3 linked regions of the Oryctolagus cuniculus genome follow. The protein of the gene in region 3 purifies or fractionates together with the protein of the main gene of each other region. This does not show direct contact. Links are inferred from orthologs where the notes say so. Each region holds a gene or a part of one and is shown on either strand. Other genes may lie near its edges. The genes, in order: XRCC4, LIG3 and PNKP.

Region 1 (2,823 bases), on a different chromosome or scaffold from region 3:
TACAGTTTATGAAAAACTAGGAGGTTCTGTTTTGTGGAACTTCACAAGCACTTTCATGTACATCCCCTCCTTTAATCTTCAGACCACTTCAGAGGCAGATACTATCTCAGCAGAGACAACGGGAGTCTGTTAGGTTGAATGACTCGCCTAACATCACTTAGCTAGGAAGACGTAGACTTGGATTTGGGGCAAGTGTTGTGGTGTTGAGTTAAGCTGCCACTTCTGGTGTGTACATCAGGGTGCCTGGGTTTCTGTCCCACCTCTGCCTCTTCTACAGTTTCCTGCTAATGTGCACCCTGGGAGGCAGCAGACGATGGCTCCAGTGCTTGGGTCCTTCCTACCCGTCTGGGAGACCCAGATGGAGTTCCTGGTTCCTGGCTTCACCCCGTCCACCCCCCAGTATTTCAGGCATTTTGGGAGTGAGACAGTATATAGAAGATTCTCTCTCTCTCTCTCTCTCTCTCTCTTTCTTTCTCTTCCCCCCCTTCCTCCCTCCTCCCAGTTCAAACAAATAAATAGACATTTAAAATAAATAAAATGAAATCAATGAAAAAATGTATTTGGAAAAAAGAAATAGACCTGCATTCAGAACTGTGCACATCAGCTTCAAGTCGATGACCCTGCAGGTGTTCCGAGCCACTGTGACTCCCCCTCTGCCTTTGAAGTTGGACTCAGCCTAATCATACTTCCTTCTGCAGCCACCTCCAATCACTATCATCAAGCACATTTCGTGAAGGTTCCCTGGAAAACCAGGGGCAAAGCGTAGCACAAGGATGTAAACATGTATCCCGAAGTTTTCCTTGTGACTGAGCCGTTGCACCCCAGCTCCGTCTGCCCTGTACCAGTCAACAGCGATCATGGCCATGAACAAACCCGTTATCCCAGCACTGAGAACACTCCCATAAATATAGAAATCAGTCCACTGAAGTACTCAACTGTGGTACCGAACTGGATAAAATTTCAATTGCTAAACAAGATGTGCATATTCAGTGAACGAATGTGGACCTACAGCATTTCGTCAGCAGTCACCATCAAGGTGAACAATCACTGTTAGTCATCCACACGCGACCCACTGACCGCTAAAGGAAAGTCCAGTGATCAGAACTTTGTGCTGCGCAGGGACAGAAATGCATGTTCACGGGCAGCATCTAAGGAAGCCGGAGGAAAATGAATGTTGTGATGGAATTGTTAAAGGGAGGGCTTGGGGAACCTGTATCTTGGTATAACAGTGAATATAGAACAGAGGATGAGATATTTCCTTTCTTGACCTTGATCATGACTGTTGCAGGCCCTTGATTTTTTTATTTTAGCTGAGAATAGAGACAGATGCATTCTAAAGCAAAGAAATTGAATTCCTTTCATCCTTCTTTGCTTGTAGCTAACAACATACCAGTTCTGAAACAGGCTGTAACATGATCCACTTAGGTACATCCGCATTTTCTTTTGTGCTACAGTGGAATTATTTTTTTTCAAATAAAACTCTCCTGGCTTTCTTTTCACTCTAGGCTCGATCCTTCACTCCCTGAGACACTGCAGAAGGAGCGCGTCTCCGCTGAGCACTTGTCTTTAGAGACGCTGAGAAACAGCAGTCCGGAAGACCTCTTTGACGAGATTTAACAGTCTTGAGGAAGTACTTGGATGGCCACTAGATTGCGTTTTCTATTCATTTCTTTAAAATGAAACAGCGGAATTGCAGCCGAGCAGTAGCCATTACTGCAACCTTACGATTTAATTACATACACACGGGGTTGAAGCCGTTGTACAAAATGGATTACACGTGTATATGAAGATGTGATTTGATGACAGTGTTACGTTCTTCTAAACTATTCGTGCAGCATGCCTTTAATTACATAAAATCTTAAACTTTGTTTCAGAGGACACATTTATTGTTTTCATTCATACATATTGTGTGTGGTACATGTCTCACACCCTGTCCAGGGGGATTTTCAAAAAGTAACAAAGAAATCTTTTAAATGTTTGTAGTTCTTTTTGAAAAGTTATATTCTGAACAGTTAATTATATTTGAGCATTTTCATTTGTTGGATGATATATAAAATATATTTTTAGTTTGTATGTAAACAATCTGAAAATCTAATAATAAAATTTTTGGTGCTTTGAAAGTTCTGTGTTCTTGATAAAATGTATTATTTAGCAAAAATTTTTCTTCCAAATGTGTTTATTTTTTATTTTTATTTAATAAATATAAATTTCCAAAGTACAACTTTTGGATTATGGTGGCTTTTCCTCCCATAACCTCCCTCCCCCACCCCCTGCAACCATCCCATCTCCCACTCCCTCTCCCATCCCAGAATGTGTTTAATAATGTGCTTTTTTGTTAGAAACATTTTTCCAGGATTGTTGATAAATGTTTACCTTATATGCATAGAGAGACTCTCCCTGAAGACAAGGCCTTTTCGTATTTACTTATCCATCCCAAATAACACTGGCACTGTTTCTGTGTGCATCCATGATTGTACTCGCCACCTCTCCTGCTGTCTCCACTCCCTCCACACTATGGAAGGCTACAGCACTGAAGTTGACAGTGGCTGGCAGGTTGCTGAATCCAGAGGTTGGCTCATTACCACCCTCATCCTCCTGAGAGCCTCGGTGGGTCACTTCTTCCCAGTGGGCCTGCTCTTCCTTCCTCGAACACCGGGTATTCTCCGTAGGCCTCTTTTCAGTCTCTCATCTCTTGGACTTCTTAGCTGATTCTGTCCCCCTTGCCCAACAGCTAAAGCTTGAGGCCTGGGCTCAGTCTTGAGTTCTCTTCTCCTCATTGCCCACGCTGTCACTCTCAGCCACCCTGGGTTGCCTGTGGTCTCA
Region 2 (3,646 bases), on a different chromosome or scaffold from region 3:
GAGATGGCCTCTGTTCTTCTGGGAAGGGCTCACCTATAGATCCATGTCAGTCTGGTCCTCGGCTTCAGTGTGAGGGGCCCATTGTTCTTTACCGTGCATAATTATGAGAGACAGGTGTTTGGTCTAGCCAAGACAGCAGGGTGGGAGTGCCTGGACATGATAACCAGCTCTGGGTCCTGCTGATGGAGACCCTGGGAACCAGCTGTGGTGACTTAAGTGATTGGATTCCTGCTGCCCACATGGAAGACCTCAGCTGAGTTCCTAGTTGCTTGCTTTGGCTCCCAGCCTAGCCCAGAGTCAATGCAGGCATTTGAAGAATAAACCAGTGGATGCTTGCTCACTCTCTTCCCCCCTCAAATAAATAAATTAAGATTTAAAAAAAAAAGAAAAAACAAAAAATCGGGGCAAGCATTGTGGTGCAGTGGATTAGGCTGCTGCCAGTAACACCAGCATCCCATGTGAGTGAGTACCAGTTCCAATCCAGCTCCCTGCTAATGCACCTGGGAAAGCAGTGCAGATGGCCCAGTGCTGGGGCCCCTGCCACCCACTTAGGAGACCCCAGTGAAGCTCCTGGCTCTGACCTGGCCCAGTCATGGCTGTTACGGCCATCCAGGAAATGAACCAGTGGATGGAAAATCTCTCTTTTTTCTCCTTTCCTCCCTCCCTGTGTGAGTGTGTGTGGATGTCTCCCTCTCTTTATCTGTAACTCTGCCTTTCAAATAAATAGGTATTTAAAAAAATAAAATAAAAAACAAACTTTGAGGTTTGGAGCAATTACTTGAGCTCCATGTCTCCACCTGTAAGGTGAGTGTAATGGTGTGCACCGCACAGGCACTTAGGCGATCCAGGAAAGCTGCATGGAAAGCACGAGCAGACCGCCTCTTCGTGTCCTCCCTTCTCAGGATGGCAGAGAGAATGATGTCTGTTGTTTCTTTCTCCACAGCTAAGCCCAACAACTCTGGGCAGAACCCACCCTCAAGCCCTGCCCCTACAACAAGTTTGTCCTCAAGCAAATGTGACCCCAAACACAAGGATTGTCTGCTGCGGGAATTTCGCAAGCTGTGTGCCATGGTGGCCGATAACCCGAGCTACAACACAAAGACCCAGATCATCCAGAACTTCCTGCGGAAAGGCTCAACAGGAGGTGGGCCACGAGCATCCTGAGTGGGCTCGTCCTCTGCAGAGCTCCAGGCCATGGCCGGCTCCTGGGCATGCGAACTGTCGCACAGACTCCCTGTGTGGTTTAGTGCTCCACTGGTGTAGTCTTGCAGTTAGTAATTCTGAACAAGGGGCTCGTGTTTACATTTGGCACCAGGCCCCACAGTGATGTAGCCAGAGTGCTCAGAGTGCTCAGAGTGCTTGGGCACCTTTCTTCCTTTGCCCTTATTCCACCCTAAGGAGGCCAGAAGAACAACCCATCCTATTGGACCCAAAGGAGGGGCCGGCGCTGTGGCATAGTAGGCTGAGCCTCTGCCTGTGAAAATTCCATAACTTGCGCGTTGGGTTAGATTTATGTGAGCATGTGACAGCTTGGAATGCAGCCTTCAACTCTGCCTTGTTCATTCATAAACATTGTCACACTGAGCATCTGAAACCTACTTGTCACTCAGGATGTGAAGTGCAGGTCCTGGCTCTGCCCCGCAGGAGTTCATCCACGGGCGAAAGGTGAGGCAGACACAGGAGCCACTGAACTTTGTGGCCCCTCCTGCCATAGAGATAGGCACAGGGCACCATGGGAGCAGGGAGCAATAGATAGACAGGCGATAGACAGACAGACAGACAGGTGGGTCTCTGCTTCCTGGAGTTTTTGTATTCATTTAAGCTGCATTTCTCAAGTAGGGTTCCTTTCTTCTGTCTCCAGATGGTTTCCGCGGTGATACGTACCTAACAGTGAAGCTCCTGTTGCCGGGGGTCATTAAGAGTGTTTACAACTTGAATGACAAGCAGATTGTGAAGCTCTTCAGCCGCATTTTTAACTGCAACCCAGACGATATGGCGCGGGACCTAGAGCAGGTCAGAGGAAGGGAGAATAGGCCCTGTTCTAGGTGGGGTTCTGCCAGGCCAGGCACTGCAGCCACTTTTTTTCTGGGTGGGGCACTTCCTGTGTTAAGAAACTGAAACCATTATGGGAGGGGCTGAATGTGAGGCTACAGCTGTTCACTTCATGAGCTCCCAAGGACTAAAACTATGCTACTGCTGAGCCACAGACGGCAAAGACTTTCAAAAGTCAGGATCTGAGCTTTCCCTGTTCTCACCTGGGATTCTCATTCTGGACTTGCCCCTATAACTTTGGCCTTGCCATTCAGCTTTGGTTTGTTTGTAATGCCAGCGGGTACCGTAGAAAGTTTCCATCCAAGTGCCCCCCTATCTGATAACTAATATCTGTCTGTTAGTTGTTAACAGATCTTAGAGCAGGAATCAAATTGGCTCAGCCCTGGATTAGTTCCTGTGTCTATTCTTGTCAGCCAAAGCAGGTGGGCAGGTCCTGTGTGATAGCTGTGCCCCTTCTAGGAGCAGTGGCTGGGCCAGAGTCTCTAAGTTAGGTAAATATGAGGGGGCTTCAAAAGGTTAGTTGGAAAAGGGAAATTACTGGATAATGTGATTTTCTATGCACTTTTTGAAGCTCCCACATGCACCGAGTTGAGGACAGGAACTGTGATTGAAATCTCGACTCATTTTAGTCCTAAGGTCTTGGGGGACACACTTGGCCACCCTGGGGTTGTAGCAGTGGCATTTTGGTTTTTGGAGACAGGGTGACGTGTCAGAGACAATCAGAGTCTTCTTTGAGCAGAGCAAGTCTTTCCCCCCAGCTGCCAAGAGCCTCCTTACCATCCAGGAAGTGGATGAATTCCTCCTGCGGCTCTCCAAGCTCACCAAAGAAGATGAACAGCAGCAGGCCCTACAGGACATCGCCTCCAGGTGGGGGAGTTGCCCTATCAAGCCACACTTGGTGGGGATGGGCTCCGGGAGCTGGATCACTTGGGAGTTTCGGTTTGGAGCATCCAGAGCTCTTCAGAGGTCGTGTTGAATGTGCTTCCTCTCCTTAGGTGCACAGCCAATGACCTTAAGTGCATCATCAGGCTGATCAAACATGATCTGAAGATGAACTCGGGTGCAAAGCATGTGTAAGTGCCAGTTCCTGCGACAGCCTAAGCTGTCAGCTTTCTTTGTCCCCAGCTGGTGTCAGATCTTTGGAGTCTTGATCTGGAATCCTGTCCCATTTTTCTTCCTGCAGGGTAACGATTCTTTCTCTACCTCCATTTTCTTATATGTAAAGAAGAGCTAACAATACCTTCATCACAGAGTTGTTAAAATTGAGTATGGAATGTACTAAGTGTAGTTGGCCCAACCCAGGCCCCTCCACTGCTGAGCTGGCATCCACATAGTCACAGGGTCACTAAAGACAACCTTCCAAGAGTGTTTCCCCCTTCCTATAAAAGTTTTTGGACAAGAAAGCACAACGTCTCCCCTCTAGATTGGGCTTTCCTGTCTGTGAGGACAGGTTGCTCCCCAAAGCCATCAGGTCAAAGGCAGTGGTTTTGTTTCCTTGCTCCTGTCCCCACTGGCAGGTTAGATGCCCTCGACCCCAATGCCTATGAAGCCTTCAAAGCCTCGCGCAACCTGCAGGACGTGGTGGAGCGGGTCC
Region 3 (4,141 bases):
CCGGGGCGCTAGTGCGTCCCGCCCAGGATGCCAGCGACCTGAGCTACGGCTGAGCGTGGGGACGATGCGGACAGGCCCTCCGCATAGCGGGCTCGGGCCTCCAGCGCCTAGGATGTGGCAGCTGGGGAGAGAAGGCGCGGCCGGGGCGGCGAGCAGGCCTCCAGCGCGCGGGGGCCAGGGCGGGGCTGCTCACCTGCTCCTGCAGGTAGTCCCACATACCGCTCACCGGCTTCCGGTACAAGCCCGCGTGCGTGGCCACCAGCACCTGGGGTGGGGTCGGCATGGGACGTCACGCCGCTGCTCCCCGCGCCCCTGGAAGCCGCCCTCCGCCTTGCCAGCCAGGCGCCCCGGCCGTACCTGGAAGGGGGCCCCCAGCTTCTCCAGCACGGCCTCCACCTTGGCCTTGAACTCCTCTGCCCGCAGCTTCCCGCGCCCGATGCCCATCTGGTTGGTGAAGATCACCAGCTGGGGAGCAGGGGGCCGTCAGCGGGCGCGCGGCTCTGGCCCTGCCCGGCCCACAGCCCAGGCACACGCACCTTGTAGCCATCCGCAACGAGCTCCCGTAGCCTCCGCGGAATCTCCGGGTACAGGAGCCTAGGGCAGGCGGGAAGCCCTGCTGACCCGGGGCCGGAGGTGGCTCCGGGCCCCCTCGCTCCCTCCCCCGTGCTCACCTCCAGTCACTGGGGCCAGTGGGAAAGACCTTCCCGGAGCGGGTGGTGATGAGGGTCCCGTCCAGATCAAAGCCAGCCACCTGGGGACGCCAGGGGGACAGCAGCAGCCCGGTGACCCCACCGCCCATCCGAGCGCCCTGGGAGAACCCCAAGTCCTTCCTGTCTCTCGTGGCTGCCCCCGGTACCCCAACCTCTAAGACGGGGGTTAAGGTACCCGAGCTCTGCCCGGTCTGCACTTAGACACAGCGGGAGCTAAGCTTCGGGGGGTGACTGCGGGGTGGGCACGCGCCGCGCTGACCCCGGGTCCAGCTCCGAGCGCTGGAGGCCGAGCAAAGCCGGGCCTGGGCCTCACCTTGGCGCGGGGCTGCACGCCGGGCGCGGTGAACACCAGCAGCTTGTCCAGGTGCGCCCAGCCTGGAGCCGACCTCCGCCTCCGCTTCTCCGGCGGCTCCTCCTCTGGGGGCTCTGGAGGGGTGCCGGGTGGAGTAGCTGGCCGGGATCCTGGTGAGTCGGTCTCCTCCCAGCGCAGGGTCAGCGGGTGCAGGCCATTGACCAAATACAGCGTATCCCCAACCCCCAGCGAGCCCTCCAAACCCTGCTTCAGTTCCTGAGTGCCAGCAGTTGAGGGGTTAATTCCCAGCTGCAGAGAAAGGGGAAGGAACTGCGGCTGGCCCCGCCCCCCAGCACCAACCTCCAATCAAACACCCAGGGACGGGACTTACAAGCCCCACCTCCTCACTGCACCCACCAATCAGGGCTTTGAGAGGTTACAGGAGGCTGCCCTACCGCAGCAGGGGAGGCTGCACTGGCCACGCCCCTTCCCCCCTCAGCCACTCTCCAGGGGCTGGCCACGCTCTTCCTCAGCCAATCAGATCCCTAGGGGCGTGTCCCCGAAGGCGGTGCTCTCTGGCTAGACCCGACCCCCAGGCCGCGCTCGCACCTGTTTCACCGCCACGGTCCGGGTCTCCAGGTCCGCGACCAGCTCCACTGCGGGTGGGGGAGTGAGGTCAGGGTGCGGCCCCCGTGTGACTGGTTTCCCGGTACTGGGGCGCGGGGCCGGGAGGCGGTTTACTTCAAGACAGGACCGCCGACCACACGGGCGCTTTCTCTCTGGAATCGGGGCGCTTCTCTCCGCGGGGTCTGGCTGGCCCCAGTTCAGGCTCAGCCACCCACTCCTCTGCTTCCCAGAGGGCACCCGCCCCCCTCGGCCTCGCCGGGCCCAGCGCCTGCTAGGAAGCGGTTCCTGCTTCCGGGCAGGCCACACCCCCGGCCCGGGCCCCGCCCACCTTGGGTTCTCGAGCACTTCCGGTCCGTAACCTGCGTCAGTGGCCCCCGGCCTAGGACCAGGGGCTGCCCGTCCGAGGGCAGGAAGATGGGGGCCGCCCCTCCCGGGGGGCTTTGCAGCCACAGGCGGCCCCGGGGCTGCTCCGTCTCGGCCATCGCGCGTGCAGACTAAAGGGGAACGGGTCTGAACGGCGGGCGCCCCAGTTCCACAGGAAGTCCCGCCTCTTCCCAGCCCGTCCGCCAGGAAGTCCCACCCCCTCGCGGCCTCGGGCTCGTGCCGTTTCCCTGGCGACGACGCCGGCTCCGGCTCCCCGCCGGCCCGAGTCCCCGATTCCTCGGGGCTGGGCTCAGAGCTTCGCGCGCCGCCGCCTCGCCCGCACACGCTCACCCGCGCCGGCTGCCCGGACTCCGGCGTCGCTTCAAGCCAAGGCGGGCCCGCCCGAGGCGCCCTGCCCTCGCCGCCGCCTCTCGGGTCCCGGCGGACGGAAGTGACTGGGCGCGCCGAGGGGGCGGAGCTCCGGCCCCGCCCCCCGCTCGCTCTCGCTGCAGTGTCAGGTTCGGCCCCTAGGGGGCGTCGGTGACCCGTGCGAACTCCTCTCGAATTCCCGGCGCCTGTGGTGGAGTCAGTCCGAGGGGCCGCCCCTACCTAGGTCGGTCTATTGCTTCACACCCGACGCCGCAGAGGGATTGCTACGCGAATATCAAGAGTTCACACGGAAATATACAAGCGGCAGAAAATCCTATTGCTGGCGTTCCTCTGGTCGCGACCTGATGGGAAACCGAGATTCCCCGGCCACCGGCCCGACTCTGCTCCACGGGGCCGGAGCCCTCCCCTGCCCACGAGTGCCCCACCCGGCCATAACGTGGGGGCAGTGCCACCGGCCCGACTGCCCAACTCTGGTCCACGGGGCCGGAGCCCTCCCCTGCCCACGAGTGTCCCACCCGGCCATAACGTGGGGACAGTGCCACCGGCCCGACTGCCCGACTCTGGTCCACGGGGCCGGAGCCCTCCCCTGCCCACGAGTGCCCCGTTCCTGGCCCGTGGAGCTGGGAGTGATTCCAACTCCCAGCCTCGCTCTGCGCGTCCGGCCCAGGAGCGTCTAAGCTGAATGCACAGCACACGTCACGCTCACGTCAGAAGTAAAACTTTTAATCTCAGAGCGCCCTTCCCATTCCCGGCTCCCACCCCCCTCTCCCCCCGCAGCAGGGCCGGAGAGTGAGGCCCCCTCTCCCCACGTGGGTGGACGAGGGCCCATTAAGGCACCTGTGGGCGGGAGGGGCGGGGGCTGGTGCGCCTGGCAGGCTGTTGGAGGGGCCGGGGACAGGGCCGAGCAGCCGTGTCAGGACGTGGGCGAGGCGGGCTAAACCAGCCCGAGCCTCAGTAGTGTGAACGCGGGATGGCTGCAGACCGAGTCTGGACACCAGGGCTGGGCCGCGCCCCGGGGCCGGAGCCGCTCCGCGGGGAGAGCCCTTTGCTTCCGCCCGAACCCGGCCGCCCCGGCCGGGAGCTAGCCACGCCCCCGCCGGGGTCAACCAATCGCAGCAGGAGCCGTCGCTGGGCAGGACCGACCGACCCAATCGGGAGACGCCGGCGGGCGGGGCGGGGCGAGGGGCGGGGCTGGCAGGGACGCGCAGCCCCAGCCGCGGACACGTGGGGGGCGGGCCCCAGGCCGCGCCGGCATTGGCGAGCTCCGGGGGCGGGCCAGGGGCGTCGTGCGGGGCGGGGCGGACGCGGGACCCGGCGGCCCCTCCCGGGCCTCAGTATTTCCGCTTCAGCTTCTGGAAGTCGCTGGTGTTGAGCCGCGGCCGCGGCAGGTCCCCGAACACCTGGGTGTCGTCGGCCTCCCGCAGCACGAGCGCGCGCATGCTCGCCGCGATGCGGTCCAGGTCCGGCGAGGAGGGCTGCGGACAGGGCGACGGGTGAGGGTGCTCACCGCCTGCTCCGTCCCTGGCCCTGCCCCACGTCCCGCAGCCCTCACTCCGGCACAGGGCCTCAGATCTGAAGATCTGGGCAGGCTGCGGTGAGCCGGTGAGCCAGTGAGCCCCCCGCTCTGACAATGGGGCTGATGTGAGGTCGCGGACAGGCCATCAGCTGTCACTCCACGCTCCCATGCAGGCCTGGTGCCCCCGCAGCTCCTGGCCCCAGATGGGACCCACGTCACAGCTGGTGGACCCTGCCTGGGCCC

What was found.
Region 1: the proteins of PNKP (region 3) and XRCC4 purify together in Homo sapiens (co-immunoprecipitation; 5 studies listed by BioGRID and IntAct, counting the BioPlex papers as one, with this or other methods). This does not show direct contact. The link is inferred for Oryctolagus cuniculus from reciprocal best matches to the Homo sapiens genes PNKP and XRCC4.
Region 2: the proteins of PNKP (region 3) and LIG3 purify together in Homo sapiens (co-immunoprecipitation; 5 studies listed by BioGRID and IntAct, with this or other methods). This does not show direct contact. The link is inferred for Oryctolagus cuniculus from reciprocal best matches to the Homo sapiens genes PNKP and LIG3.

The regions. Positions count from the first base shown.
Region 1 is NC_091445.1:6,524,919-6,527,741, forward strand, and holds the end of XRCC4 (DNA repair protein XRCC4), read left to right. Parts: intron 1-1,505; coding exon 1,506-1,617; 3' UTR 1,618-2,221; downstream 2,222-2,823.
Region 2 is NC_091448.1:39,288,070-39,291,715, reverse strand, and holds part of LIG3 (DNA ligase 3), read left to right. Parts: intron 1-943; coding exon 944-1,144; intron 1,145-1,861; coding exon 1,862-2,013; intron 2,014-2,752; coding exon 2,753-2,919; intron 2,920-3,047; coding exon 3,048-3,125; intron 3,126-3,569; coding exon 3,570-3,646. UniProt on the Homo sapiens protein: Isoform 3 functions as a heterodimer with DNA-repair protein XRCC1 in the nucleus and can correct defective DNA strand-break repair and sister chromatid exchange following treatment with ionizing radiation and alkylating agents.
Region 3 is NC_091449.1:7,700,995-7,705,135, reverse strand, and holds the start of PNKP (bifunctional polynucleotide phosphatase/kinase), read right to left. Parts: upstream 2,944-4,141; 5' UTR 2,344-2,943; intron 2,124-2,343; 5' UTR 2,112-2,123; coding exon 1,958-2,111; intron 1,882-1,957; exon of another isoform or gene 1,745-1,881; coding exon of another isoform or gene 1,744-1,744; intron 1,659-1,743; coding exon 1,612-1,658; intron 1,339-1,611; coding exon 1,024-1,338; intron 752-1,023; coding exon 672-751; intron 595-671; coding exon 537-594; intron 466-536; coding exon 358-465; intron 266-357; coding exon 194-265; intron 1-193. Other genes in the region: AKT1S1 (proline-rich AKT1 substrate 1), read right to left, coding at 3,714-3,857. UniProt on the Homo sapiens protein: Plays a key role in the repair of DNA damage, functioning as part of both the non-homologous end-joining (NHEJ) and base excision repair (BER) pathways.